Lonchura striata: one gene and its partners. The protein of the gene in region 3 interacts with the protein of the main gene of each other region in a pairwise test. Links are inferred from orthologs where the notes say so. Each region holds a gene or a part of one and is shown on either strand. Other genes may lie near its edges.

The links.
Region 1: the proteins of RFX6 (region 3) and SS18L1 interact in binary tests that used the Homo sapiens proteins (3 or more experiments, as listed by UniProt). The two-hybrid records come from large-scale screens. The link is inferred for Lonchura striata from reciprocal best matches to the Homo sapiens genes RFX6 and SS18L1.
Region 2: the proteins of RFX6 (region 3) and NEDD9 interact in binary tests that used the Homo sapiens proteins (3 or more experiments, as listed by UniProt). The two-hybrid records come from large-scale screens. The link is inferred for Lonchura striata from reciprocal best matches to the Homo sapiens genes RFX6 and NEDD9.
Region 4: the proteins of RFX6 (region 3) and FRS3 interact in binary tests that used the Homo sapiens proteins (3 or more experiments, as listed by UniProt). The two-hybrid records come from large-scale screens. The link is inferred for Lonchura striata from reciprocal best matches to the Homo sapiens genes RFX6 and FRS3.

What each region holds. Positions count from the first base shown.
Region 1 is NC_134619.1:4,914,480-4,922,433, reverse strand, and holds the start of SS18L1 (calcium-responsive transactivator), read right to left. Parts: upstream 3,006-7,954; 5' UTR 2,831-3,005; coding exon 2,762-2,830; intron 168-2,761; coding exon 91-167; intron 1-90. Other genes in the region: PSMA7 (proteasome subunit alpha type-7), read left to right, coding at 3,925-4,020, 5,437-5,563, 6,413-6,537, 7,870-7,954. UniProt on the Homo sapiens protein: Transcriptional activator which is required for calcium-dependent dendritic growth and branching in cortical neurons. Recruits CREB-binding protein (CREBBP) to nuclear bodies.
Region 2 is NC_134603.1:91,620,539-91,627,849, forward strand, and holds the start of NEDD9 (enhancer of filamentation 1), read left to right. Parts: upstream 1-4,310; 5' UTR 4,311-4,369; coding exon 4,370-4,381; intron 4,382-7,311. UniProt on the Homo sapiens protein: Scaffolding protein which plays a central coordinating role for tyrosine-kinase-based signaling related to cell adhesion. As a focal adhesion protein, plays a role in embryonic fibroblast migration.
Region 3 is NC_134605.1:66,056,133-66,063,887, forward strand, and holds the start of RFX6 (DNA-binding protein RFX6), read right to left. Parts: upstream 3,016-7,755; 5' UTR 2,972-3,015; coding exon 2,803-2,971; intron 2,658-2,802; coding exon 2,495-2,657; intron 943-2,494; coding exon 819-942; intron 1-818. UniProt on the Homo sapiens protein: Transcription factor required to direct islet cell differentiation during endocrine pancreas development. Specifically required for the differentiation of 4 of the 5 islet cell types and for the production of insulin.
Region 4 is NC_134632.1:101,073-108,327, reverse strand, and holds the start of FRS3 (fibroblast growth factor receptor substrate 3), read left to right. Parts: upstream 1-4,249; 5' UTR 4,250-4,347; intron 4,348-7,255. UniProt on the Homo sapiens protein: Adapter protein that links FGF and NGF receptors to downstream signaling pathways. Involved in the activation of MAP kinases. Down-regulates ERK2 signaling by interfering with the phosphorylation and nuclear translocation of ERK2.

The DNA of each region.
Region 1 (7,954 bases), on a different chromosome or scaffold from region 3:
AAGAGCAAACCAACAGCTGTGCCACTGAGCAAAGGAAGAGCCAGACTTCAGGAAACATTTCTAACAAACTCCCCAATTCATAATACTCACTGAGTACATTCTGCAGTTTTCCCCTTGCTCTGATAATCCATAATGCATTGTATTAGGTGGTGATTTTCATCTAGCATCTGCATAAAAGAAATAGGACCAAAACGTAACTATGAGAATTGTATAAAAGTCCTGTGTTTTTGTGATCCTCCACCCTCCTTGGCACTGGATGGTGTTTTGTGCAATTTTGTTGCCTTGGCTATTGTAAATTACCTACATGTGACTTTACTGAGCCACAAGGTTGATTTAATTATAAAAAGTTGTCTTTAAAGTAGTTACTTGAAATACGCATACAGCAGAATTAATGGACTTACCTTGTTCCTTAAATGGCAGATTAATTCTGATGCTGAAGAAGGAAAACACTTTCACTATGAATTATCTCCGCCTCATCCCAAAATATCACCCAACCCTTTCCAAAATGTCAGCTAATACTAATATTCCTACTTTTAAGTAGGAAACAAACTTTCAAACCATTAAACCTACTCCTTTTCCTGCACAAGACCAGAGCGTGCTGACAGCTGAACCTGATGAAGTATAAAATTTGCATCGCTGCAGCTACTGAAACCATGTTTAAGAGAATTACATCCCAGTGTGTCCTTACTTTTATTTCATGAGCTCATAAAATGATTAAAAGCTTAAAACATCCTTTGATTGGTTGTGAAATTTCAGATGCATTAGTTTGTCTCTTTCTCCCATATTTTTTGTGACTGCAGCGCACTTTCTCCAGGTGAATGAATAAAAAAAAAAAATATCAGCACGCAGAAATTTAGATTTTCCTCTGGCATAATAGATTTTGTAGATATCACTGCTATCAAGGGCTTGCAAGATTGAGCCTTTGAACCACTGTGTCATCAGGGCAGGAGAGCTCTTGAGGAAAGAACCATTTCTGGTTCAGAACTGAATTTTGCTGCCCTGGAAATGCTATATGATGAACTATTTTAGAGCAGCACCACCACTACTCTATTGCCAAAAGCTCTAACTTCCTCCGTGTGAAAGCTATTTTAGGAATATTTGATACTGGGATAAGAACAGCTTTGAAAGTTTATTAAAATTGAGTTAATAAATAAAAAAAACCCTGTTTATATAATAGGAATGCAAATAAGAATAATATTTTTTCATTGAAATTTGTATATGTTCTCAAAAGCTCACTTTAATGAAGACTTCTGGAGATTTTTTTTTCTCCTGCTCTCTCTGCTCCATTGCCATCCTTGACTATAAATCCCATCCAGTTCCTGTGCCTGCAAGTCTGTTCCTTAGCATTGCTGTTTGTCAAAGAGAAAATCACTGCCAACAGTCCAACACTCATGAACAGTCCCAAAGTAACCTGACAGCAAATGCACCTGAGATGGGAAATGCTTCCACTCATTACTTTTAGAGAAAGAACATTTTGAAGCTTCCACAAAGTTTATGAATATGCAAAAAGGGCTTGAAAATCGAACAGAAGATACTTTATCTGCCCTTTGTCTGTGGGTGTGGGTATAATGACAAACAACTGAATTATGAAATAATTCCAACTGATTTGGAGGTTAGAGGAAAAACTTACCAAGTCTGAAATATTTCAGTATTTAAAATGAATTGGTTCACAACACCACGTGCTGCAAGAGCTCCACAAAATGGGATGTTTCCAAACAGTCTCCTGAGATGCAAGTCATCTCTCCAGCCTCTCTCCTGGCAGTTCTTTCTGCCCTCATCTCTGCCCTGTCACACGCTACCACTGAGGGAATTTTTGTCCCCTAGAAGTCATAAATTGACAGCGGATCATGGCTTGGCTGCACAGCCCCTGGTGACAGGTTAATGGCTGTGTTGGCAGTGGCACTTCTGCCCTGGTCACCGGCAGCGAAGGGACCGCACGGAGCTCACACCTGGCTCACAGCACACCTGGAGCCACGGGAACGGCCACAATGACAGCAAAAGTGCACCTGACAAACAGCAGCACTACAACCATGCACGTTCTTTATTGCCATTCCCAGCCTCGCTGCTCCTGGCCGTCACCTTCTGCAGGAGAAGGGTGCCAGGGTCTGCTTGTGCTGCCAATCCTGGGAAATAGGAAACAATAACTTCCCAACTCAGCACCCTCTGATTTGGCCTCCACATGACACCCATGTGGGGATCTCCTCTCCAGAGAAAATCTTTCCAAACCTTTGTTTGTCATTAAACATCAATAAACACATCACAATAATAGTAGTTTATGAAAAATACCAGTGGCTGGTGCTCCCTCTATCTTCTGAGAGATTAAAATTCTGCATCCAGATACAAAAGAAAACCCTTGCAAATTCAGTATTTTATTTCAATTCATTTTTTCAGGTTGGATTCTTTGGGGGCCAGAAGCTGACGTACCATCATAAATTAACCGCATATTTGCAAATTTTATTGCCGTTTCCCAATGTATGCTTGGCAGCGTTTCCCCTTGGCGAGCAGCAGGGATAACGTGCCATCCCGATTTTATTCCCTACGTCCTTCTCTCGCTCTCTTTGCAGCGATCTGAACACCTTTGCTTTGTTCCACCTCCTCCTCCTCCTCCTCCTTCCCCCACCTCTCTCACTCCAGCTGTCCATCTCTGCAGCCCTCGCAAATTCACGAGTTTTCCTGATCGCCCTAGAAATCAGCCTCCAGCTGCAGGAGCATGGACAGAATAAATGTCTAAAATTGTCTGTATAAAAGCATGCTCTTTTACCTTCTGGATAGTTTGCTGGGTGACCTCCCCTTTGCCTCTTGGGCGAGCAGAAGCAAAGGCAACCGACATGGTGGGGGATTTTTATGTGTCTATAATATATCGGTTCCAGGCTCTAATAATATTGTTATTATCTGGCTGCTATTGCCGTGCGAGGATTCTCCGCAGTGCACGGGGAGGGGGGCGGCCGCAGATGGTACGATCTGCGCCCCGCGAACACCCGCGGGCGCCGCGCCCCGCGCCGCCGGGCACCGCCCCCGCCGCGCCCCCCGAGCCCCCCGAGGCGGCGGGGCGGCGGCGGCGGCGGCGATGCGGGGAGGGAGCGGGAGCGGCGCCGCCGCCGCCTCCCCGCCGCCCGCACATGGTGCGGTCCCGGCCGCCGGGCTCCCGCGGCCTCGGCCGCGCCGCCCGCTGCGCCAACTGCGTACGCCGAGTGCGCCAGCGCGGGAGCGGCGCGGGGCCGCCTACGCCAAGTGCGCAGCGAGGGGACAGCGGGCGGGGGACGGGGGCGGCCAGGGCAGCCCGGCGACACGGGGACGGGGGCGGCCAGGGCAGCCCGGCGACACGGGGACGGGGGCGGCCAGGGCAGCCCGGCGACACGGGGACGGGCACGGGGCTCCTCTGCGGCACGAGAGGCCGGGAGAATCGCGGCTGTTCAGCCTGGCGTCGGGGTGACCCAGCTGTGCCTCTCCAGTACCCCCAAGGTGATGCACAGCAAGGATGGGGCAAGGCTGTTTACAAGAGAGGGCAGTGGCAGGACAAGGGGAACGCGTTCAGATTGGAAAAGAGCAGGTTTGGGTGAGATAAGAGGGAAATCTTCCCTGCGAGGGCGGCGAGGCACTGGCACGGAGAAGCTGCCCTATGCCTAGAAGTGTCCAAGCCGGGGTTGGACGGGGCTGGGAGCAACGTGGGATAGTGGAAGGCGTCCCTGTCCATGGCAGGGGGTGATTTTTGGGGTCACCTCCACCCAAACCCTTCCGGATTCCCTGCGGAACGCGCGGGGCGCGCGCGCAGCCGAGCGCGTACGCTGAGTGCGTACGCCGAGCACGTACGCCGGGTGCGTACGCCGGGTGCGTACGCCGGGTGCGTACGCCGAGCGCGCAGCGCAGGAGCGCAGCGCCCCGCCCCCGGCCCGCCCGGATGACGGTGCGGGTTCTGCCGGAGCCATGAGCTACGACCGCGCCATCACCGTCTTCTCGCCGGACGGGCACCTCTTCCAGGTGGAGTACGCGCAGGAGGCGGTCAAGAAGGGCTCCACGGCGGTGAGTGGCTGGCCGCGGGGCTGGCGGCGCGGCGGCGGAGGGGACCCGCGGCCGGGCCTGCGCCGCGCTGCGCGCCCGGCCCGGCGGGCCCGGGAGGCCGCGGGGTGCGCGGGGACCATCCGCGGGGACCATCCGCGGGGACCATCCGCGGGGACCATCCGCGGGGAGCATCCGCGGGGAGCATCCGCGGGGACCATCCGCGGGGAGCATCCGCGGGGTGCGCGGGGACCATCCGCGGGGAGCATCCGCGGGGAGCATCCGCGGGGACCATCCGCGGGGAGCATCCGCGGGGAGCATCCGCGGGGAGCATCCGCGGGGAGCATCCGCGGGGTGCGCGGGGAGCATCCGCCGGCCCCGGGGCTGCCCCGGCGCATCCCTCCCGCGGGTATCCGCTCCTCCCTGCGGACTGCGGGGTTTGTGTTTGTGCACCAGGCAGAGCCCCAGCGCCTTGGGAAACACCAAGCCCTTAGAAGCACATCGATGGCTCCCACCTTCTAGTTATCCCAAGCTTTTCCTCAATCAGAGTTTTGTTTCATTTAGGGGAGGAGAAAAAAGGTGTTAATTTGCAAATACCGTTGTATTGGTGATTGTGATACGTTCTAGTAATAGTAAATTTTAATTCCAAAAAGTCATGGCTATATTAATAGTTGTAGTATGTTTTAGTTGCCATTACCAGAAAGAGAATGTACCATCATTGGGATTGGAATGACTGTAACAAAATCCAGTGCCAAATAGATTCTTCGGTTTTCTCAGACATTAAAAATACTGTGAAAGTGGAGACAGCATACAATGTAACCACCCCTCTTGTCTCTTGTTGAGTTTCATGTTTCTAGAAACATTTGGAACATGCTCATGTGGCTGCCCCACAATAAAAAATTATTGCCATCCCCCTGTGACAAACAGTGAGGATGAAGGGGAAGGGTCAAGGGTTGTTTTTTCCTCTGTGATGTTGGAACAGGTATATTCAAGGTATGGATTAGGACTTTAAGGCAGCTACAGGCAGAACATTTTGGCAGTTGTAGGGTTACTTGGTAAGGTGTTACCTGATCTTCAGCGCCTTGGGCTCCTGAGTTGAGCAGTGCCACTGGACTAGCCGGGTTTTCATGGCTGTGGAAACACTGATGGTGCTGTTGGAGAAAAGAGTTTGTAAGAGGAGCTGGAATCTGTCTCTTGGGAGCCACAGGGATTTAGGTTGTTATAAACTGATGATGAAACTGCACCCTGAAATTCATTGCAATTTTTGTTACATCAGTGCTGCCTCCGGGTTGTGGGAAATAAAATCCTGACTTCAAGCTGAGGTGGTGGTTACAGTGTGGGGGTTTGTGCTTGGTTACTGCTCATTTGAGTAAAGTCTGCAGCTGTGAGGATTTTTGGACCTGGGTTAACTTTTTTACTTCTTCTTTTCATGCACGGAAGGTTGGAGTAAGAGGGAAGGATATTGTTGTCCTTGGTGTGGAGAAGAAGTCCGTGGCAAAGCTGCAGGATGAGAGAACTGTCAGGAAGATCTGTGCTCTGGATGACAATGTCTGCATGGCTTTTGCAGGTACATGGTGCCTTCGGGGCTTTGGCAGTTACTGGGGCACCTTTGGGCATGTTTATGGAATCTGAGAACCCAAAATACAGGGTGTAACTGGCCGAGAGCTGTGGGAAGCACAATATTTCCACAGTAGCTTATTCTTTTTTTTTTTTTTTTTTTTTTTTAATAGGGAAAAAGAGAGTGTCAGTATCAATAATGTTTTTAAAGGGAGACCTGATTTAACTGACTAAAACAACAGGTTTAGGTTCAGTGTGCAGGAATGAGAGGCTCAGTTCTTTCTCCTGCCTTGCTCCTTTAGCCAGGGTCTGGGATATGTGCAGGGGTGTTCACAAACTTGAGGAAAAATTCTCTAATAAACACAAGGCTGTAAGTGAAAAATGGCAGCATTAGCTAAAAAGTAAATAATAATAAGAATTAAATAACAATTAAATTTCTTTAAAATATTTTTTTTAAATGGTCACACTTTTGTCAGCTAACATCATGCTGCTGTAGCCCCATTAACTAGATGAAGTTTGCTGGGCAGATGAAACTGGACTGCATGAGGAATAATGTGTGTGGGAATGAGCATTGCAAATCACCTGGGACATTGAATGCTGTCAGTAATACTCCCATTACCTGGTTCAGAATTATGTGTCACCTAAGTCACAAACATGGAAGCTGTAAACTAAATCCTTTAGTCATTTTTGTGCATTAACCACTTTCTGCTGCCTTACAAATACTCTTGCTCAGCAAACCTGAGAGTTTGACCTCTGCCTTTATTTTCCCTTGTTTTTGACACTGGCCCCGTGGGCCTTTTAGGGCCAGATTGGTGTTCTGAGGTTTTTTCATGACTCTGAGGCCCCTCTGTCATTTCAGGGCTGACAGCTGATGCCAGGATAGTCATAAACAGAGCTCGGGTGGAGTGTCAGAGCCACAGGCTCACTGTGGAGGATCCTGTCACCGTGGAGTACATCACACGCTACATTGCCAGCCTGAAACAGGTACTTGGGGCTGCACAGAGCTGCTGAGGATGTGTCCTGACCTGACAGAGATGTTTTATTTGCTGTTGTGCTATGCATAATGTACAGTTAGGTGTGGAACAGGTGTGTACCACGTGGGACTAGAGTGTCACACGTGTAGCACGAGCCACACCTTGTGTAGCATGGAATATCTGACACTTCTTCAAGCTGTGTAAATGTCTGTGCTCTGGCCTCACTCCACTTACTTGGTAAAAATCACATTTATTGGGAATGGGGATGTAGCAATGGAAAAGAACAGTTGAGTGAGTGCTGTTTGATCTGAGTTTTTTCCCCTAGATAAAGCAACTAGTTCTTGTAAGGACTGCACAGTTCCATGTGTTAATGTCATCAGAACACCCTGCTCATCTCACTTCCAGATAGCCTGGGTTACTGTCTTTGCTTCATGCTCCTGGTAGTTTTTCCTCTTGCAAAGCCATTGCAGAGATGGGTAAGAGGGGAGCAAATTGGTGCAGTATTTAATATGTTTTGTAGTTTAGAATGAATTGCAGCATCAAAATATGCCCAGCTGCATTCTGTGAGAAAATTACTCCTTTGCCAGTGTATTAAACTGATTTTCAGCCACTAGCGAGAATTAGAGAAAATTTAATTTACTTATGCACAGATGTGTTAGAGCAGTGGTGATGGTAATAATATGATTCTTTAGTGGTAATAGTAATAATCTCTGCAGTATAATCTCTCTTGCTCTGTAGTCTGTCAGAGCAAGGCACCACTACCCGAGTTTCACTTTGTTCCTTTATCCAGTCTCACGTTTGTGTCTGTTTTTCTGGCACACCATTTCTCTCACGCTGTTGCAAACACACCTGGCCCAGCTCCTGCTGCTGTGGTGCTGTGGGTGTCAGCCCTCCTGCCCCTGGGAGTGACACTGCAGTGGCTTTGCTAGGAGTGTCCCAGGAGGGCTGTGACACAGCTCCAGTGTAACCTGTGTACAGCCACGGAGCTGCCATGATTTCATGTGCAGTCAGTGCAAATCATTGGTGAAAACTGTGTTCAGGTGTCCTCGTGGTATTTTTTGGCACACTGGGGCTTGCAGACCTGGCTCTGGCTGCCTCAGCACCACTCAGCAGGTGGAGAGGTGATTCTGGAAGCTGTAACCAGGTGTAGGAACAGGGGTTGGACAGGAATCACTTCTCGCTTGCCTGCCTTGGGGACTCCATGAAATACAGAGTCCTGACTAATGGAGAGAGCAAATGAACAGCATTTCTGGTAGCTCTGCTGGTTGTAACTGCTCCAGAGTGTGCTGTGCAGCCTAGGAATGTGTTCAGAAGTGCCTGAGAGTGTGTCCTTTGTGCTCAGAGGTACACGCAGAGCAACGGCCGCCGGCCCTTTGGGATCTCCGCCCTCATCGTGGGCTTCGACTTCGATGGGACCCCACGGCTGT
Region 2 (7,311 bases), on a different chromosome or scaffold from region 3:
CACTGAAGAAATTCCATCTACTCCATATCTGCTGAACCAGCCTGCGTAGCATTATATAGGGGACAGGACGTGAAGCTAATTATTACTCCTATGCTCAGAAAGTGCAGTGGCACTATAACTAAGTCAATTTTAATCCACACTCCCTGGTCAAGTATCACAGCAAGAAGAAATGCAGATGCTGCGCAACATTATCCAAGAGATAGTTAGGCCTTTGTGAAGAGGGAAAAAAAAAAAAAAAAGCTCAATGTTTCCCAAACACAGAGCTCACAGACCCTTCCTGAAAAGACTCTCTCAACTGTGAGGGAGACACTCTGCTGTGTCTCTCTTTTCTCAGATTGTGTCAATGGGGAAATGGGAACAAGGGGATTTTTGTTTGAGTAACCTTTCAGAGCAGGATATCTGTCTCATGTTCCCCTCTCAATTGTCACAAGGTGATAGCTGGCTGATGTGCTTCAGCGGGTATTCCCTTCCCAGCCTGCCAGCAGCTCTGTTCCATGCTGTACGCCGAGGGCTGTGGCAGGCCAGCCGCAGAGCCCAGCTGATAAGCAGTCCCTGTGGCTGCCCCACAGTGATAACTTCACCTGCTGCCACCTCCCAGACACCTCAGCACCTCAGCTGGCAACCAGGAGGGCCATGGGAAGACACAGAGCAGAGACATGATTAGAAATAAAGCGTGCGATAAACTCAGCAGGATGGGGTATGAGAGCAGGAGGCAAGCAGTAGGTTGCCCAAATGAGCAGAGAGTAATATTAATTGCCCTCAGCAAAAGCAAAGAAATAAACAAAAGCCATTGACAGAGGCACAAGACGAAGTCACAGAATCCATTTGCCACTCTGCTAGAATTGCAGTGGAATAAATATGAGGCAGTGAATCAAACCATTGCTGTGCTGTGAAGCAAAAGAGGCACATTACATGAATTACCCTCCTGAGAACTTCAATAGGACCCTGTAGTTATAAATCCTGGCAATATAGCTCAAGTTGCCTCTGAAACACAGACATCAGTAATGCCTGGTCCCAGCTTCCTCATCAGCAAGTTGCATTGTATAATTGAGCTGATTATCCAAGGCAACCGACTCAAAACTTCCCTAGGCTGTGCCTGAAATACAATATTACATAGCAAAGGCACGGCCGCTGCCAAGGTCAACAAGAACAGCGGGGTGCTTGCACTAACCACAGACGTGCCTGCCACAATCCCAACTTCTCACAACAGGAGGAGCTTAGCGGCTCACGTTTGCAAATCTCTCTTTCAAGGTATATCTAATTCCCGATATCCGTGATAGACCATGGAGCTCTGTCATGCTGCTGGCCCTGCTACGAGTGTCCCTCTGAGTAGGAGTGTTTCACCTTGGGGGAAATTAAAAACCCCCTCAGGGTAAATGGAGTAGGTGAGAGAGGTGGAGGGAGAGTGCATGAATAAATGAGCAGTGGGACTTCACTGTGCAATGGTGTGCCATGGCAATCTCTTTTTCTCCCTGTAAAATACCAGCTCTTGTGTCTGCTCCTTCAGAGTTGTAAAGTACAGCTACCAACACTGACAGACTTTATGGGTTTGTGCCCAGTGTCATTCCAGTGGCATCTAAGTAAAAGTATTTAATAAGAGTTATGGAGAGCGATAAAGGCAAAACAATACACACACAGGAACACTCCAACTAGAATTTCATATTAACACATCTGTTAACTCATATTAAAATCAGTCAGGGACTTTTTACATACATTAAAAGCAATGCAAGCTAAAATAATAGCAGAAGGCACAGCTTCTCAAATGTTCTTAAGTTTCATAATGTGATTGTAAAGCATTCTGAGAAAACACCAATTACAAGAAAAGTATCACTGTTGGTGGGATGACTGCAAACCAGATGCTGTCAGAGTTTAAATATAGGTGAAGTCAGAAATATGATGTTACTTATTTTTGTCCCCAATACTTATTGGTTCTTGATGATGTGGTTTTACAATCCTTAATGCGTTTATCTTCATGGTAATGGTGCCATGGGAAGAGATTATACAGAATTTATTCAGGGAAGAGGATCTGGATGCTAGTCCAATACCATGCTAACACCTCAGCTATTGCATCTTCTGTATCTAATTTTCTACTTGGAGTATGAAGAACAAAAACATGCAAAACGAAAAACAGTGTTTCTTTGATTCTTAACTCTTCAATTAAGAAATGCTCCAGAGAGATTTGCACTCTTTTAATAGTAAGCTGGTTATACATAATCACGGGAAGAAGTCCTTTCTTAAGTAAAGTGTCTAAGGACACAGCATACAAGTGAGTTTTATTCTCTTGAAACTACCCATATTTATATTGATGCTGCACTTAAAATAATCCCGCCCTAAACCCAGTGCATATAAAATGTCATCTGTTTCCCATTTCTTCTTGGAAAATCAGAAGAATCAACAGCAACAACAAAAATGGAAAGAAAGGCCCAGAGAAAAACCTCTACAAGAGGCTGGGGCAGTAAAGCTACAGCCCAGCCACAGTGGGTCTTCTGCACTGCAGAAAGGAGGAGCTTGCTCCTTTCACTAATTTCCAAGACTTATTTTGCACTGACAGGGACACACACCCATGAGCTATTATGGCATGTGCAGTCAATAAGACATCACAGGAAAGAAAAAAGCATTTTTGCATTCATTTAGTAAATTTGTAGAGTACAGCCACATATTTTATGCTGGAATTGGAGAACAGAGGAGATTGCAGATAAAAGTATGACATTCTTTATCAATCAAGAAACCATTTTAGCAATAGGATCCCTCTCTAGAGGATTAGTCACATGAGAATTTAAGGATAACATTGTACTATGGAATGTAGTTATGTTTGTAATCTGCTAGTACAAGATTATTCTTTGCTATTTTTCCTTAGGCCATCAGAAATAGCCTTGAGTCCATTTGTGACCTAAAAATGTTGAGTAAGATTCAGCTTGGGCAAAAAGGAGAGAATTTATTTCCCGTTCCTCTAAACAATCTGGAGTATGTCCCCTATACAAAGATCCCTCCTATTGTGTGTACCATATTAATCATGCCTGATTAAGAGATCTAACTTGAAAAGCATGGAGGATCACCACACATCTATTTTCCCCACTCTTTCTTGCTTCCAAGATACCAGAGTTAATTATTACTCTCTTCCAAATAATCCTTATTTACAATGGTCACTCTTTATAATGAACATCTCCAGGCCATTAAAGCATTCTTGGCCTCTGGTGTCTAATCAGCGTTAAAATAGCAACCAGGCAAAGTGAACACTTGGCAGATTGATTTGAGCAGTAGTAGATATCTTCTGAAGACAAGTGAGAATAAAAATAATTGCAAAGACATGAACAAGCAGTGTTCAGCGCCTCCAAGAGCTACATGTGAGAAAAATGCCTGTGGGAGGGATGGACAGAAAAGGTTCACAGAATCACAGCATCAGTTAGGCTGGAAAAGGTCTCTGAGGTCATCAAGTCCAACCCTTGACCAAACACCATGTCAACTAGGCCATGGCACTGAGTGCCATGTCCAGCTGCTTCTTGAACACTTGCAGGGTTGGTGACTCAACCACCTTCCTGGGCAGCGGATTCAAATGGGTTACACACCCTTTGAATTAAGAAATTCTTCCTGTTCAACCTGAACATCTTGAGGCTATGTTCTCTTGTCCTGTTGCTGGCTGCCTGGGAGGAGAGACCCACCAGGGAGGAGAGACCCACCTCATATCAGGTGGTTACAGAGAGTGATCAGGTCCCCCACCAGCCTCTTTTTCTCCAGGCTAAACACCCCCAAGTTCCTCAGTCTCCCTTCACAGGACTTGCACCAGACCCATCACCAGCTCCGTTGCCCTTCTCTGGACCTGCTCCAGCACCTGAAGGTCTTTCAGTGAGAGGCCCAGCAGTGGACACAGGACTTGCGGCGTGGCCTCCCAGTTCCCAATACAAAGGATAACTGCCCTGGTCCTGCTGGCCACACTAGTGCTGACCCAGGCCAGGATACCCTCCTGGGCACACGCTGCCTCCTGTTCAGCCTGTCGACCCGTGCCCCCAGGTCCTTTTCCGCCGGGGAAAAGTAAAGGCGAGCAGCTTCGAAAAGGCAGAAAGGGTTCCGGGGAGGAGAGCCGCCAGCCCTCGCTCTGTGCGGGGCTCTCTCTCCGCGGCCATCGGCGGAGGGAAGTGGCGGAAGGCGCCGCACCCGGTCCCGAACCCGCGTCCCCGCCGCCCCGCTCCGCACCCCCTCCGGCGGCGCCGCCGCGGCCGGAGCGCGTGGGCGGGGCGCCGGGGCGGGGCCGGCCATTGGCTGCGCGGTTGTGGGGGCGGTGCCATGCAAATGAGCGCGCAGGGCTGGCGCGGCGGCGCGCGGCGGGGCGCGCAGAGCGCGTGGGGATGCGGCGGGGCGCGGAGGCGCAGCCATGAAGTACAAGGTGAGCGCGGCGGGGCGCGGAGCCCGCACGGCAGCCCCCGGACGGCCCGGGGCTCCCCTCCGCACCTCCTCAAGGCGAGCCGTGTGCTCACGGGCCGGCCAGGTCTCCCTTCTGCCCTCCGCTGCGCTGTCTCCAGGCGCGGAGCCCCAGGGAAGGTGTCGGCGGGGAGTGGGAAACGAGGGGGCAGCGAAGGGGACGGGCTGCGGGGACCCCCGGGTGCTGTGTCGGTGTTGGCTGTGCGGGGAGAAGGAGCTCCTCTCGCTTTTCCCGCTGGTGCCGGCCCTGAATAACGGGGTGAGCCCGGGATCGCGGGAAAGGTGGGGATGCGGTGCGTGATGGCCAGGCGCGTTTGGGACAGGTACCCCCGATCCTCCCCGGGAGCTCATGCACCTCCTTCCAGGCGCTTGTGGATGACTCCTCATCACGGTGCGGTCTGTTTGATGGATCACAAGCGAGGGGGGAAAAAAAGAACCCTAACATTTTTTTTTAATGGGTAGCCTATGCCCCGTGTTAATTCCTATCATCCCCGCTTATTAAAATCGCTTTTAGCGACCTTTTACCAGAAGGGGTGGCGGTTGGTTGGTTTTTTGGTTTTTTTACTTTTTTCAAAAGACACAAATGTGGAGCCTTTCATCCTAATATTACTCAAAAATGTCTGGGCAAGGTACAGAATTGCCCACGGGGCATTAGATTACTGTACAGACATACCGTAATCTTGTGTGATTGGAAAAAAAGGGGGAGGGAAGGAAAAACTTTCCTTGCCCAGCCAAAAATAACTTCAGTGTCAATAAAAAGGTGATTTTGGAAATGTCACACGCTATATACTTGGAGACTAAGTTACTTTGGAAGTGAAGTCCATCTTGGAACTAAACTTAGGCAGCATGGTCTGAAAGAGTGCTGATGGAGTGGCAGTGTGTGTGAGAAGTACGAGTGATACCCAGGTAAATGTGCACAGGTTTTTATGTTGTTCTGTACGTCTCTGAGCTCAGGCCAAGTTTTCAGGGTCTCTCAAGCCAAACTTTGGGAAAGGTCAGAGTTAAGTTTCCAAAGCAACTGCCAATTTCACCATCTCATGGAAGGACAAGGGGAAAAGAAATTGTGTTAGATGCGGGTTGACAAAGGTAATCCATGGCTTTCACAATTTTGATGTGGAGCTCATGGCTTTCTTTTTTAAATTGTGTCTCAAACAACTGATTGATTTCAAGTCTGAGATAAAATTAATCTCATCTCTTCTATCTACTCCACCTCTGATCAGTCCAGGTAGACTTTACACCTGCCCAGAGAAGCTGTTACTCTGAACTGAAAACATCAGGCACTCGGGAGTAGAAGAACAGTGTTGCTGTTAGTCCAAAGCTCACAGTCTTCTTTCAGGCTGCCCAGGGCCAGGCAACACTTGTATCCCAGTAGCAAAGTAATGGTCCTGCATAGTTATACAGCTTCCTGATTTCTGTATGTAGGCCAGTGGCACTGCAAGAATAGGGACAGATAAGGTGACTCAAAAGGGGGAAGTCTTCCCTGTTCTGTAATGTTTCCTTTGCCCTGTGTTGTGGGAATGAGCATTGTGGATTTGGTTTGTGATTACGTAATTCTAGACAGAGAAGGCTAGATGGAGAAAAGAACAAGCCATTAAAAATAAATAAATAAAAAGAAGATTGAGGGGTTTGGCCTCAAAAGCCTTCTTGCTGGATTATGGTTGTTACTTTCCCTGGGAATTGTGAAGCAGTTACGCTGTTTAACTGGGACAAACATTCTTAGATCTATTTCATATCCCTAGTGTAACACACAAAGAAAACACCTGCACACTTGGTCTTTTTTCTTTCTGTATTTTCTCTCTTTCTTTTATCTTCCTATAGGAAAACATTTTTTTTTTTATTGTACACATGAAATAAAGGAACGTAGAATGCTAATGGGCTGCCTGGGGACATATCATCACTTCAGAGGAGGCTTAGCATCCAGGTGTAGATTTGTCTCTGTTTAACTGCTCCCAGTGTTGTACTGGGGGATGTCACTCCTTACTTTCATTGTGATAGCCCATAAGGCCTCATTTAAAGAAATAAGTGAAATGCTCATTATAGCTTAATTCAGAATTTTAACAGTAGGACAGAACAGGAACTGATTCATGGGTGAGATCCTGAATACATCTCTCCGTCACTCATGACTTTGCTTTCAGTGTGACTAAACCCAAGGTCATTCCTGGTCTAGAAATCCTTTCTGCTACACAATCTATAGAGTTTTTTATTCAGACATCTTCAAAACTTGTTCCTTCCTCTCTTCCTTCATCTAAGCTGCTTTTATTGTCCATTGCATACTTCCGTCAATGTGAATCCTCTGAAAGGGAAAATCCCCGTGGATTTAAGGAAGTTCAGAATTTACGTTACATATTTCTCTACATCACTGTCTAACTTTTGCACACTGTGTGAAATTCAGTGATTCTGTGACTATTTAAAGCAAAGAGAAATTTAACCCCAGGTCAAGTCCTGTTCTCCCGTTCATGTAGCACTTAAATGCCTGAGAACACAGAAGTTATTTTAACTGAGCTATGGAAAGATAGAAATGGTTAAGCATAAGAAATTCTTGTGTTGGTCTTAGTCCTGCTTGTCTAAAAGCTAGTTTCAGAAACTGTAGAAAACTTTCAGAAATTCCTGTAGGGGTGCAGTTGCATGAAGGCAGCACCTCAGTTCTTTAATGACAGTAGCTTGCTTTTGAGCTAAATCCTTATGTACAACAAAGCTACAACCCTTCAAGTTCTCACAGGACTCCATTCCAGTATTCTGTAACCTAAGAGGTAGGATCAGCCTTTTCTGAAACCAAACACAGGCTATGACTCCAAGGATGGAGCAGTTACAGCTACCATGTACACTGTACGTGTACCTTGTACAGTGGGTTACTGTGATGAGGGAAGGATATGGATGGGAGAGGGTATATGGTAG
Region 3 (7,755 bases):
AACTCTGCCCTTTAGCTATGCTGTTTTCAAAGACAAACAACTAGAAAGAAATTGATTTTTTTATTTGAAAGTGTGATCTGAAAAATTAATTCAGTAATAGAGGTAGATCTAATAGGTATGTCTAACAGACATATCACTGCCAAAATTTTACATTGAACTTATTGTCTTTCTCATTTATACTAAAACTGTGTATGAAAATTAAATATCCACTTTTTTAGTATATCCAGTTCAAGAGGAATAAAATAGGAAATTAACATTTTATGAACCAGATTTTAAATCCATTATTTAATTACATTAATGCATTTTGCTATGTATAAACCATTACTAGATCACTAGTGCTTAAAAAAGATGATCCTTGAAGCATTTTTGGTTTCCTGTTTCACTAAATACTCAGGATTTAATCTGGAGAGTTCACATCTTTCTTACATTAAATTACTTAAGGATTAATTGTAGAGAAGGGTAAAAAGAGAATGAATCAACAATTTTCTATTTAGAAGCTCTCTGTGTTATTAATTTCTTTTCCCCTTCTAGCAGTATTGCATGTGTCACATCTCACCTTACACTGTCTTTAGTATATTTGTAAGTGTCCTCCATGTTTTTGTGGAAAGAACTTATTAATGTCATGAACAAAAAGGGAATTTCAGCTTCAGTCTCCTAAAGGTGATGTTAAGAAATGCCTTCATAGGAGACAGTGTAGTTAGTCTGATTCCATGTACATGAGCAGTAGAAAATTTCGGAAGAATTCTTACACAGATGTACTAAACTGCGACTCTTCCAAACAACTGATCTAACAAATTATTAAGGCATTTGCTTATTACCTTCCCAAAAGTTGCAGCACAGGCAGGTTCCAGCTTCTCTTTTCTGCAGAAGTCTAAATAATGTGCATAAAGGATGCATCTTGGTAAACAAACTCCTTCACATACAATGTAGTTTTCTTCTAGCCTGTGTAGAGAAGGAAACTGCCAGAGTAAGAAGCAACATGCCATTTCTCCTGATTGCATTTCCCAGTTTTTGCTCTCTTTTTTCCCAGTTGGTCTTCTTTTTTAAAATGTTACTGAAAAATTCCATCAGAGCACACAGATGAGTTTCTCCTGAAACATGACAGGCACTACAGACTTGGTGCTTAGGCTAGCTGCAGAATATTGAAAACCTGGAGCCAGATCCCTGTTGTTAATGAGTCTTTTTCAATGTCTGGACTTTTTTGCTTTATTTAAATAACTAAATTATCATCACCGAAGAGTCAGCCTTAGTCTGAAAATAAGAGTCTTAACTAGACTATAAAAGACCTGTGTTTAAGTCAGTCCTTTGAGAGGATTTAAGAGCAGGGACCTGGACTTGCATCTTCTGTCCCACTGTATCCTCAACACCTGAGCTACTGTCTCTTTTCTTCATTGTTTTGCTTTTTAATTTCCACTCTGGACCTGGATATGCTTCAAACCACAGTGGAAAAAAACAAACAACAGCATTTTTATAAGAAGGTGAATTTCTATGTAGATTCCCAATCAGTTTACAGAATACAAGTGCTGAGTGATGGTCATTAAAGTAAAATTTTTAAAACTGAAGCAAAAACCTGACTGTTTTCACTTGAAGGGTACCCTTTGTAACAGCTAGGTATTTCTTTGTCCTGTTGATTTTTTTTTCTTTATAATTTTACATTGTTCACTACTCCTGGGATGATGTGCAATAAATTTGTTTCTCAAATTACACAAATTTGTAATAAAATACTGTGTAGTAAGCGCTGCATAGTGAATAATTTTACACTGACTCACCAGACTTAAATCCTTAACTATTTACACTCAGAAGTAAACTAGAATAAGAAATTGAATAATTTGGATTAGTCTAATTTTTCAGTTAGAAGGAAAAAATAACTCTATTGACAGTCTACATTTCTGAATTAAGTTTCCATTTAATTCAACAGAACTTCTCCCTAATTTCAAGTGTATTTTGATATAAACATTTATCAATTAATGTCTGCAGAATCTGACCTCTTCTTTGGTTAACTTTTTTCCCCAGATAAACTAAACTAAAGTTAGGGCCTCAATGGGTCAGAGAACATAATGTAAATCAAATGCATAATAAGACAGTGAAAATCTGTCACAGCCTTAAAGTATAATTAAAGCAGCCATTCTACAAATGCGATTTTTAAATAATGTTTCATTTCTACATTTTGATTATACATTTCATTGATAGCCACAGAGTGTGAGAATCTGAGACTTGTATGAAGTGACAAACCTTTGGCAATTTCAAAACTCAGAAATTTGGGGATGGGTGTCCTTATTTGCAGATAAGGCTCATCCAAAAGAAACCCGCAAAACAAAAACAGAAAACAAAATCAACAAACGAAACACCCCAGAAATTACAAATTCTTTCTAAAAGAAATGTCGCCCTCCTCGCCAGCTCAGCTGTTAGAGAAGAGTCCCTTTGAATGTGACGGACGAGCCGGCTCGGTCCTGGAGCCCCCAGGGCGGACAGCGGGGTCTCTCTGGAGCCCTACCATTGCAGGGTGAGCTGCGTCTGCTTCTTCTTGTCCTTCATGATCTGCGTGATGCTCTTCTTCGAGGACGGGCTTTGGCTTTGGTCGGCGGCTGTCAGCGCGCCGTCGCGAGCATCCGCATCCTCTTCTTCCGAGGAGAGTGCTCCGCTGCCGAAGCGTGTTTCTGAGCGCCGCGGGGGACAAGAAGAGAGGGCCGAGGGCATCGTTACGGTCCCGCAACAAGGCACTCCCTCCCGCCTGCCGCCCAGCCCGCCGCGGGCTGAGGGGCCGGCCCGGCAGCCGCGGCTGCCGCTGCTCCTCGCCCTTACCTGCCTTGATGCCGGCGGACAGCGGCGGCTCGGGCGGCGCCTCCCGGGCGCAGGGCAGCAAGCTTCGCCCCAGCAGCCCCGCGTAGCGCTCCTCCTGCGCCTCGGCGGGCACGGCCTGCGCGGCCGGGAGGTGCAGGAAGGCGTCCCCCTGCTCGGGTCCCTTGGCCATGCTCCTCAGTGGCGCCGGCTCTGCCCCGGCGCGGCGCGGGCGGCGCCCATGGGCGGCGGGAGGGGACGGGAGCGGACCTGAGGGCGCGGGGCGCCGTCCAACGCGCGGAACGGGGCTCCGCACCGCGACGGAGCCGGTGCCGGCCGAGCGCCGCTGTGAAGCGGAGGAGAAGCGATGCGGGGGCGGCAGCGGGGCACAGGTGTGCCCTAGGGCGCCGTCCCGGGAGGCGACATGGCTCCTTGTCCCTGCCCGCCCGCCCGCGGCTCCGCCTCGCACCGGGCCCGCAGGCGGCCGTCGGGCGGCGGGGAGGTGTCTCCTTCCCCGCCTCCGCTTCCACTCCCGCCGCCGGGCTCCGTCAAGCCAGAAGGGGACAGGGCACGGCTGGAGGCCGAGGAGGCTCGGGGAGCCGGCCGGGAGCGGATCTGCCGGGGATTTAATGATTAACTCCCGCCGGCGGCGGCTCCGGCTGGTGTCAGGGAGCAGCTCCCGGCCCGCCGCGGCCGAGGCGGGGGCGGCCGCAGCGTCCGCCCGGCCCTTCAGGGCAGGGGCGGCCGCAGAGCCTCCCCTCGCTCTCCCCTCCGGCCGAGGGGCGCTCTGCGCTTCGCAGCTGCCTCCTGACCGCCGCAGGGCCAGTCGTGGGACCCTCCTGGGCACTGTCTATCACTGTCCGTATTTCCTTAATTTCCAGCGTAATTTTGTGGGTGATGGAGCAAAACATCTTTATTTTGTACATTCTTCTGGCAGACGTGTCCTTGCTTTGCTCCATTCTAGCATGCTGTCTGTGAGATGGAAGGAGAGAATCACAGAAAGTGGTCCTTGATTTTTCCAGAGAACAAAATTGTCAGTAGGATGGAGATCTAGTTCTGATCACTGCTGCATCTACTGTTTTAATAAATTCTCATTAAAACAAAATGTTAGGTGTTGTCCTGTAAGGACTGGGATATTGTACTATGACTTGTGATAGCAAGCAGTCCTGAAATATTATAGTGGATGAATTGTGAAGCATTCTTTGAGCCATCAGGTAGTGCTGGGCTGTCACAAACACAAAGCTCATGAACAGCTGTTTTCTTTCTACTCTCTTCCAGTCTTCTGTTGCACCTCAAGTCATGGATACCACTAGCATTAGAAAGCAGCAAAATTACCGTTTCCACTCCTGCAGAGATGCATTGTCAGATTAGCTATCATCAAATCCATATTTAACAAAACCCGAGGTGTGCCTATATCTGCTGAAAGACCCAAAACCTTATCGTAAGAATAAATTTTGGACTTCAGACCCAAGGCAGACCTATGAGAAGGTCCCAGAGTAAAAAATGGCATTAAACCGAACTTTCTGCTGTTCTGCTTACACCTCTTCCCTCCACTGTGTAAAATATATTTCTTTTGTTACCAATTACTCCAGTCAATATTTCTTCCCTGTTTACATGTTTCCTTCCTACTTCAAGTAAGTGATGCTACATATGGCTTTGACCACACGTGCCTGTGTCAGTTCTTACTGTAACTCACTGGGACAGTTCAGCATCTGGTTCCAATGGCTTTGTTTCAGGTCATAGTAAAATCTCATTTGACCCTCTGACTTTTGGCTGGCTTGAGCACTAGCACAGGTGCTCACTATTTGGTCCACCCTGACCAGTATTTCCATGGTATAATAAAACCTCTCAGCTATATATTGTTGTGTTGAATCTGTTGTGATCAAAATCGAATGTGACATTGAACATGGTATTTTGGTATTATGGAGCTAAATGTAGCTATTTGTTCTTAAAGGGCAGGATTCTTATGGTGGCAGAATATTCTCAGTGACACTAATGAATTCTATCCATCATTGTCAACACAGGGATAAAATGAGTAAAGGGTCCAGCCAAGGGACTAGTTAGTTTCCACCCTGCAGCAAGCATCTGTAATCCTGCTGAAGCAAAGGACAGACACCAAAAGCTATGGCAGGTGGTCACTCCTACCCTACATTTAAGCTCTCTCTTGCTGGAGTCAGCAGTCCACCCAAATGTATAATTTCAGCTTTTGGGAGACAGAAAGGATGGGACAGGTATAGAATTGGGCTAGCTGAAACCACAAGTACCAAGAACATCATAGCATTTTTTGTGCCTAGAAATTTTTAATATAGTTCTGGAGTATGTCTGTTGAGAATCATGGTCCATATTGTTTGGTACTGAATAAAATCGGATTATGAAGTAGAACTGTTAAAACACATATCCATGTATATTTGGTTTTTTAGAATTTTCCTATTCAAAAATTGTGCATACACACAGAGACCTATACATTATATATATATATATATATATATATATATATATATATATATATATATGCACATATGCCCAAAGATGACTGACAAGGTGTGTGCATGCAGCATGCATCATCCCTGGAAACAAAATAATGCTGGATGGGATGGAGCTCTGAGCAGCCTGATATAGTTGGAGATGTTCCTGCACATTGCAGGAGGATTGAACTACATGAACTTCAAAGGTCTCTTCCGACCCAAACTAATCTATGATTCTATAATTTGTACTTGAGGCATGCAACACGTTTTCAGAGTTAGTTCTCTTAGTCTACTCTGTTCACCTCAGTCTCCCTTTAGAGTCAGTGGAGAAGAAAAGGTGTCTCCTAGAGGTAATTCATACCAAGCACAATACTCAGTGAAGCAGACAATCTTCTCATAAATATGTTTCCCTTCTAGGTCTGTACTGACAGCCTAGGAAGCATTGCTAGGTTTTAGGTGAATTTTGTAATTATTTAATCTCACCAAAATTCAACAGTCTTTTGTATAGGCTGGGGCAAATGATCAGATACAGGTGCTCCGTAGGACAACATAATTATGTGTTTCTATAACTTACATGTGAAATGTCTTTTATATCAGCACTCAGGTATTGCACCACTTCATCTTGCTGCAGTGTTTCTTTTCCTTTTTGCCAACACAGCACATGAAAACAAAACATTTTTCAACTTTATTCATATCAGTGTGACTTGCCATTAACAACAACCTGCCTGAGGGTTTCACTGTTTTGAACTGCAAAATGTTTGGAAGATAAATGCAGCAATAGAAATACAATTTGTTATTGATCTGTTCCTGTGCAATCCTGCATGATGTTTACTTAAGTGTTGGAAACTGTTTCACCTCATATCCTTCCCAGACAAATTAACTACACAGAAGTCCTGATACTGTGTTGATGCCAGGACTGTTTGATAGACTCTAACACCTATTTCTTTCCAAATATGCTGACAGTGCAATAAAAGTAAAGTATGATGCCTACCAGTACTCTACAAAGTTATAATAAGTTAATTTGTCATAATTGTCCGTGTTTGTCATTCTCTCTGCTTTGACATAGCATGAATCTGTTTAGCTCTCCCTGAAACTCCATTTCTGGTTTTCTGTGACTCCTTGCAAGAAACAGTTTTAATCACCACCAATTCAAACAAGATAGCTTTCCCATTTATTTTGGTCCTTTCCACATCTCATTGTTTACTTTTTGAGAGTATTTGCATCTTGAAAATGAAAAAAAAATATTGTTTCACTAAGCTAAGAGCTCCTGCATTTGATGGTGTCACTGGCAACACCTTTTGAAGGCATATATCCAAGAATAGATTTTTATCACAAAAATTTCCTTAGATAAGAATTTCTATTAATTAAAGGATCAAATTTGAAACAAATTGAAACATCCTCCAAAATCTTAGCTTTATTGTTTCCAATAATTATTGAATCATTCATTTTGAAATATTTACTGTAATGATGGCTTGAGAACATCACTCAGTGATAAGGGAAAATTCTTTTTCTTTGCAATTGTTTTTCTGAGCCCTTCTCAAGGTTTTTTATACATCAGCAATTTTTGCTAAGTGATTTCTCTAAAGAATTTTTTTCTTTCTGGTGTCTTGAGTCACCAGTTTTGTACATGCAATCAAGTGAAACCTTAGAGAAAGCAAAGGGAAAGAAAGGAGACTGCCCTCAAATTTTAGCACTTTTCCATTGGGTCTCTTCTACCACAGAGGAAAATAAGGAAAATAATCACCTACTGCTGCCAGTTTGTGCTGTGGCTTCTCTCGTGCTTGTACAAGAAGGTAGAGAAAGATGTGAAAGTGAAGGGAGGGCACCAGACAAGGGAAGCAGCATCCTTCAAAGTGGGGCTGGAGACTTCTGCTCTCAGTGGGAAGGAGGATCTTTCGTTGCCCAGCTTGTCCAGCTCAACAGCTATAGCAGGGGAGTGCAATCTACAATGGTGCCTTTTGACTTCAACAAGCTCTGTGTGATGCTGTAAAATCACACAAATATGGCTGAACTTTATCTGTGCAGCCAACAGAGTGAAAAGTTAATATTCAAAGCTGTGGAACAGCATCAGAACAAACTATGCAGGAGGAGAAGCACTGAACTCCATCGGGAATCTGTGTGTGTGTGTGTGTGTGTGTGTGTGTGTGTGTGTGTGTGTGTGTGTTTCTACACAAAAATACCACAAGAAGATAAATTGATCACCCAAAGGATGCTACTGCCCCCATGTCTGACTATTCCCATCTTCTTTTTGTAGGTTCTCATTCTGCCTTATTAACCATTTCATAGCTTTTGATATATCACCCTGAGCTTTCTGAGTTTTCATAATTCTGAAGATCTTTTCCCAGCTTGGTATGGAAAAGATCCACAAACGTTGCCCTGCCAATAACTTTACAAGCAGGGCCAGATCTTTGAAAGCTTCAGCTTGTCTGACAAGCTAATTCAACATAGAAGCTTTCAGTTCCCTTTATAAGGAACAAGTGTTGGCATCCAGTAGATGGTGATGTTTAATAGG
Region 4 (7,255 bases), on a different chromosome or scaffold from region 3:
GAACTCTCCGAAAGGATCGGAAGCCGTCGCGGCTCCCTGGGTACAAGAGGCTGGAATTCCTGGGAATACTGATCTGATCTGGCTCGCCGGCAGCAGCCCCTGTCTCCAGCTGGCTGTGGGAGCCCGTGTGGGCTCCCAGCCCTCTGCTGCCAAGGTCACACATTAACTTGGAGCGCAGCCACCCCAGCCTGCTTGGAATTCAGCACAGGCTCCCTTGTTCCCATCCCTGCCTCAACTTTGCTTCTGCAGGAAACACAACATCTCCAAAAAGCCCCTCAAAGCAGCGCCGGCAGCTCCCAGGGGCACAGCTCCACGCTGGCCTCACCCACGGGATAACCTGTTTCTGCTTGAGCTCCCGTCAACACAGCTGCGCTGGAGGAGCAGGAATAAAGATGCGGAGAAATAAAGATGCAGAGCAATAAAGATGCATCTTTTGGGGCGAGATAAGCTGAGGCCTGGCAGGGAGAGCCGGAGCAGCAGGTCCTGCCCGACCTGCAGCTGGTCTCGTGGGGAGCCCACGGTGCCTTTTGGACCTGGGGTGGCACCAGGTGGAGCGGCCCTCGGTGCCACTGCTGGGCTTTAAAAACGCCTTTGCAGCCCCCCAAATGATGGGGGAGGGTCTCAGCATCCTGCTCTGCCGCACCGCACCGTGTCACCCGTGTCACCGGAGGGGACAGCGGCCCGTTGGCTCACCAGGGGATGTGCCAGCGCTGCCAGAGGCTTTTCCCGCCGTGCTTGCCCTCAGTCCCACAGCACGGCAGGGAGCAGTAACCCATTAACCCAGCCTGGCTCAGCCATCCGGACACCCGCAGCTACGGACCGAGACCCCCGCCCCTCGTCTGCCTGCAGCCCCCGGGATGAAGATTCGCCCCCCGCCTCTCCCTGTGACCACCAGAACGAAGCCCCCCACCCCTCCCTGTGGCCACCAGACGTCCGAAGGGGCCCAGCTCCATCCCCCATCCCCAAATATCCCATTCCCGGCCAATCCCAGCTGGAGCAGGGATGGTGCAGCGCACCTGCCCGGCTCAGGGCTGGCAGAGCCTGGCACGATGGACCGGGCGTCACCTCCTGCTCTCAGGGGACATTTCCCGGAAACAAAGACGGCGGGGACAGCGATATCATCTCCCTCCAAAAAAACCCAAAACAACAAACCTCCAAACAGCCAAAATCCCCCCGCTCCGCCTCGTCCCCTTCCCCCGGCAGCAGGACCCTCCCGCTGCCCCCTCCTCCCAAGCTCCCTCTCCCGCAGCTCCATCCCCGCTCGGAGCCGGGAGAGCCGCGCTCGGGAGTCGCTTCCAGCCGCTCGTACCTGCCCCTTCCCGGCGCTCCGGGCCCCGCGCTCCGCCGCTCCGGGCTCGGCCGCCCGCTCCAGCCCCGCGCCGGCCGCCGCCGTCCCGCCCTGCTCCGGAGGACGCGAGCGAACGGAGCCTGGGCTGGGGAAACTTTGCAAAGCGAAAGGAAAACATCCAAGCTCCGTCGGGGAAACGCTTTTTTTGTTGTTGTTTTTTCTTTTCTTTCTTTCTTTCTTTCCTCTCTCTCTTTTATTTTTTCCCTGCCTGCCCAGGCACTGGCTCCGCGGCAGCCGGGGTCCTAATTAGAGGCTTTTTAGCCTAAACCTCGGGAGGCAGCCAATGGCTGGAATTCCAGGGCAGGCAGGGAGGGGAAAGGGGGGGGACATTAACCCTACAGGGGAAAGAGCTGCCGGTGACATCTGGCTCGCTCCTACCTCTCATTTTCCGAGCGCCCGCGCCCTTCCCTCCATCTGCGGCTCGGTTCACCCCGGGTTGCCGTTTGATGGCTTTTATGATCCCGCGCGGTGATTTATTTCCCTGCCGAGATCAGAAAGAGTTGAAGCTTCATGAAAGAGGGGGAAGTGTCATTACACCCCAATTTAGAGGTGGAGAAACTTTGGCTGGGCTCTCACAAAGGAGTTAGCCAGCGGCAAGTCAGGATGTCCCAGTTTCCACAAGCCCTGAACACCTGACGAGGCTCCTCCGAGCCATTCCAAGACCGGCTCCGGCTGCAGCAATTCCACCCGGGCAGGACTCAGGGGAAAATTTAGCAGAGCCTGACGCGAGGCACAGCGTCCTGTTGGTGTTTCTGTGCGTTTCTCAGCGTGCTGTAAGATTTTCCTGCCCGCTGACGTGACTTTGGGGATGACAGAGGACGCAGCATCCCCAAAAACCCCCCCACGTCTGCGGGGACCAGGCTGGATCTCTGCCTCCTGCGTGGTGCCGGGAGCTGTGGCTCGTTTTGGGAGCCCCGAGGGGTGTCGGAGGCTCTGGGATCAGGGTGGCACTGCAAAAAAAACGCACAGGGATGGCAATTTGGCAGAGGAGGTGCCAGGCTCTGTGACAAGCCCGTGGCACCGCTGGGCGAGGCCGTGCAGGGGTGTTGGGCACAGGTTGTGGGGCTGCCTCATGGAAGTGTCCAAGGCCAGGTTGGATGGGTTTTGCGATGCCTTAGGAATTCAGCTTTTATCATTTCCATACATTTGTAATCCTGCAGTTCTTTAGTGTGTAAATCTAAACTCCATACACAGTGGGAGCTGCTGCTTTCCCATTTTTCCAAAACAATCCCTCTCCAGGCCTGGAATCAAGGACACCTCACTGCCTCAAGCCAGAGAGATGGGAACAAAAGGGAGTTGGGGAGGAGCAAACTTGGGGTAAAACAACTTCATTACCTGAAGCTTTAATTGGAAGATTAACCCCCAATACGCAAATGACCCAAACTTATAAAAGCATGAAACCCCTGACACATGGTCCGTTTTTGGGTGGGCTTCATCTGTCCTAAATGTACCTGGAGGCCCTTCAGTAAATAAAACTGCTTTTTTATTCCCTTCATTCTGTCTGGCCTCTGTTTTAGGTAGGCCGGGTAAGGCACCACTTGGAGCAACCTGGAAATTGTCCGTGGCAGGAAAGGGATTTTTAAAGTCCTTTCCAACCCAAACCATTTGAGGACACTTTGAAAAATGCCCTGAGCAGGGGGAGAAGCAGGAGGAGGAGGAGGAGGGGTGAGCACCTCCACACTTGGCAGGGTCCCTTGGAGGTCCCCGATGTCCCCACGCTGTCACTGCTGCTTGGCCTCGCTGGGAGCTCGGTCCTGCAGCTTTCTCTGGGCCCAGTTCCTGCCTGGGACTTTGTCCCCGCGGGTGGTGACAGGGCCCCCCTTGTCCCCCGCTCCCCCCATGCTCCTCCATCCCTCCCCAGGGCAGAGAGATCCACGGGCAAAGTCCTCCGTGGGCACAGGGACAGACACAGGGACAGCCAGGGCACTCGGGGCTTTCCCAGGTGGCATCGGCCACTGCGCCGCGGTGACAGTGGCAGCAGTGTCCCCTCGGAGGGCAGGACACCCCAGACACCCCAGGACACCCCTTCAACCCCAGAGTCCCCAAATCCCCCTCCTTTGATCCCAACCCCCCCCAAATCTCCTTCCACTGACCCTTCCTTCAGCAATCCTCCAGCCCAGATCCCCCCAAATCCCCCTGCATTGACCCCCAGAGCCCCTCTCCCTCCCCAGACCCCCAAACCCACTCCCTGACCCCCAAAACCTCTCACAGACACAAAATCCTCTCACTGACTGCAAAACCTCTCACTGACCCCCAAAACCTCTCATTTCCCAGACCCCCAAATCCTCTCACAGACCCAAAATCCTCTCACTGACCCCAAAATCCTCTCAATGACCCCCAATTCTCTCCCAGACCCCCAAACCCACTCTCTCACCCCCAAAACCTCTCACTGACCCCAAAACCTCTCATTTCCCAGACCCCCAAATCCTCTCACTGACCCCCAAACCCACTCCCTGACCTCCAAATCCTTTCACTGACCCCAAAACCTCTCACAGACCCCAAATCCTCTCACTGACCCCAAATCCTCTCGCTGACCCCAAATCCTCTCACTGACCCCAAATCCTCTCGCTGACCCCAAATCCTCTCGCTGACCCCAAATCCTCTCGCTAAGCCCAAAACCTCTCACAGACCCAAAATCCTCTCACTGACCCCAAATCCTCTCCCAGACCCCAAATCCTCTCCCATTCACCCCTTACCACCAGGCCCCGCCCACCCAAGCCCCGCCCACCCCAAGCCCCGCCCACCCAAGCCCCGCCCCTCCTGCTCCGCCCCCGGCGCCCCCCGGCGCCCCCTGGCGGCGGCGCGGGCGGTGTCGCTGCTCCGGCGGGCCCGGCCCGGCCCCGATCGCTCCGGGCCCCACCGGGACCCCCGGAGCCGCCGGGCCGGCCGGGGGCAGGGCCGGGCCGGGGGCCCCGACACGCTCCGGGCCCCGGGAAGGGCCGGGCCGGGGGCTCCTGGGCGCCGCAGCTTCCCGGACGGCGGAGCCGGGAGCGCCTCAGGTACCGAGCCGCGCCTGGAGCGGGGCCGCGGCATCGCCCCCGTCCCCTCCCGCCGGCGCTCCCCGCGCTGCCCCGGCAATTCCCGGTACCCCCGGGGCTCGCCCCTTCCTCAGGCCCCTCGTTCCCGCGGGCTCTGCAGGCCCGTCCTCATCCCTCCATCCCCGTCCTCATCCCTCCATCCTCACCCCTTCATCCTCATCCCCTAATCCCCTTCCTCCTCCCTCCATCCCCTTCCTCCTCCCTCCATCCCCGTCCTCCTCCCTCCATCCCCTTCCTCATCCCTCCATCCCCGTCCTCCTCCCTCCATCCCCTTCCTCATCCCTCCATCCCCTTCCTCATCCCTCCATCCTCATCCTCATCCCTCCAGCCCCCTCCTCCTCCCTCCATCCCCGTCCTCCTCCCTTTATCCTTATCCCTTCATCCCCGTCCTCATCCCCTCATCCCCTTCCTCATCCCCTCATCCCCGTCCTCCTCCCTCCATCCCCTTCCTCATCCCTTCATCGTCTTCCTCCTCTCTCTATCCCTGTCCTCCTCCCTCCATCCCCCTCCTCCTCCCTCCATCCCCTTCCTCATCCCTCCATCCCCCTCCTCCTCCCTCCATGTCCCTGCAGCCCCATCCTCCTCATTCCTGCAGCCCCTTCCGCCTTCCTCCATCCCTTTCCCCATCCCTGCATCCCCTTCCCAGTCTCTTCATCCCCTTCCCCGTCCCTCCATGCAGTTCCTCCTCTCTCCATCCCCTTCTTCCTCCCTGCAGCCCCCTCCTCAGTCCCCCATCCCTTTCCTCTTCCCTCCATCCCCTTCTCCTTGCCATCCTTGCTCCCTCCTTTTCCTGGGATGCCGCGTTGGGTCTGTCCCCACGTGTCCTGGAGGGGTTGATGTGGGCCCAGGAGCTTTTCCACACGAGCTGTCCGTGTGTCCCTGTGCAGGGGGTGTCGGGGTGTCCCCCTGGCCCTTTGGGATTAGGGAATGCTGCTTCCCCCGCTCTGGGTTTAAGGAGGATGAAGGCAGGAGTGGCTTCTGCAGGCTGAGGGTTTGGGAGGGTGGGAACAACCTGGGAATTTGGGAAAGCCTGGTCCAGGCAGGGCTGAGGAGGATTTGGGTTGGGATCCTGAGGGTCTGGATGGGGCTGGTGGCCTCAGGAGGGTCCCAGTGCTGCTGTGGGAGCCGTGCTGGGGTGGTTTTAGGGACTGGCTGGGCTCTGGGCTGGCAAACAGGTGTGGGAAGGTGAGCTGGAAGTGCAGAGCAGGAGCCTGGCGATTCCCAGTGGAATTCTGTGTGGGAGGAATGCTGCTGAAATATTCCCCCAGCCAGGAGCAGCGGGAAGCGCCCAGGGAGCGCTCGGGGAGCTCCTGGTGGTTTTTTAGTTCATTTGTTCAGTTCTCGGTGTAAGAATCGTCCTTGGTGAGCCACAGCACTTCAGGCTGGCCCCTCGTAGGTGGGGATGGGGGGAGAGGAGTGAAGGAATAGCAGAATGTTTTCTCCCAGCCCTTATTCCTGAGGGAATTGCTGAGGTGGGAGTGGGGAGAGGAGCCAGCCCGCAGTGCCCAGGTGGGATGGAGCAGGATCTGTGCTAAATGAGCTTGTGAGGGGAACAAATCCACGCTGAGCCCAGGCCAAGGAGCAGGGGTGGGGTGGCACAGGCAAGGCGTGGTGCCGCTCGAGGGCGGGCAGGTGTGTGCAGGAGGGCAGCTGGCACCGGCTTTGTTTGCTCTCAGCGTGCACAGAAAGAAACTTTTCCTCTTCTGGGCACTTGGCAGGGCTGGGCCATGGTGAGGAGTTCTCCAGGGGCCGAAGGGAAGCGCAGAGGGGCAGTGGGAGGTGATTGATGGGGCTGTTTTGATGTGAAAGTGGAGTGGGACCCTTGGGCAGCTCAAGTGGGGCTCTTTCCCCTCGCTCTGCACTGGAAAGGGCCCAGGGAGCTCTGCCACCCCACGGCCCCGGGTTTCGTTTGGAGCAGGAGCAGGAGCAGGAGAGGAGGAGGAGGAGGAGGAGGAGGAGGAGGAGGAGGAGCAGGAGCAGGAGCAGGAGGAGGAGGCAGATTCTGGCAGAGGGAGAGGGTCCCAATGGAAAGGGGTTCCAAATGGAAAGGCGTTCCAAATGGAAAGGGGTTTCCCATAGAAAGAGGTTCCCAATGGAAAAAGTTTTCCAATGGAAAGAGGTTTCCAGTAGAAAAGATGTTTGCAGCAGGAAGAGGTTTCCAGTGAAGGAGGCTCCTAATGGAAAGAGGTTTCCAATGGAGAGGGGTTCCAATAGAAAGGGATTCCAATGGAAAGGGGTTTCCAATGGAAAGGGGTTCCAAATGGAAGGAGTTTCCAATTGAAAGAGGTTCTAAATGGAATAGGTTTCAATGGAAACAATGGAAAGGGGTTCCAAAGGGAAAGGGGTGTCCAGTGAAAGAGGTTTCTAATGGAAAGAGGTTTCCATCAGAAGGAGGTTTCCAATGAAGAAGGTCCTAATGGAAAGGGGTTCCAAAAGGAAAGAGGTTTCCAATGGAAGGAGTTTCCAATGGAAAGAGGTTCTAAATGGAATGGGTTTCAATGGAAAGGGGTTCCAAAAGGAAAGGGGTTCCAATGGAAAGGGGTTTCCAGTGAAAGAGGTTTCTAATGGAAAGAGGTTTCCAGCAGAAAGATGTTTCCAGCAGAAGGATGTTCCCAATGGAGGGAGGTTCCAATGGAAGGAGGTTTCCAATGGAAAGAGGTTCCAAATGGAAAGAGGTTCCAAATGGAAAGAGATTTTCTGTAGAAAGAGGTTTCCAATGGAAAGGGGTTTCCAATGGAAGGAGGTTCCCAATGGAAAAAGTTTCCCAATGGAAAGAGGGTTCCCAAATTGCCATTTCCATCCCAGGCTGGGGGTCCTGGTGGATCAGGTGGAGACACTGAGCTGCTCTCAGGGCACACCTGGCATCATT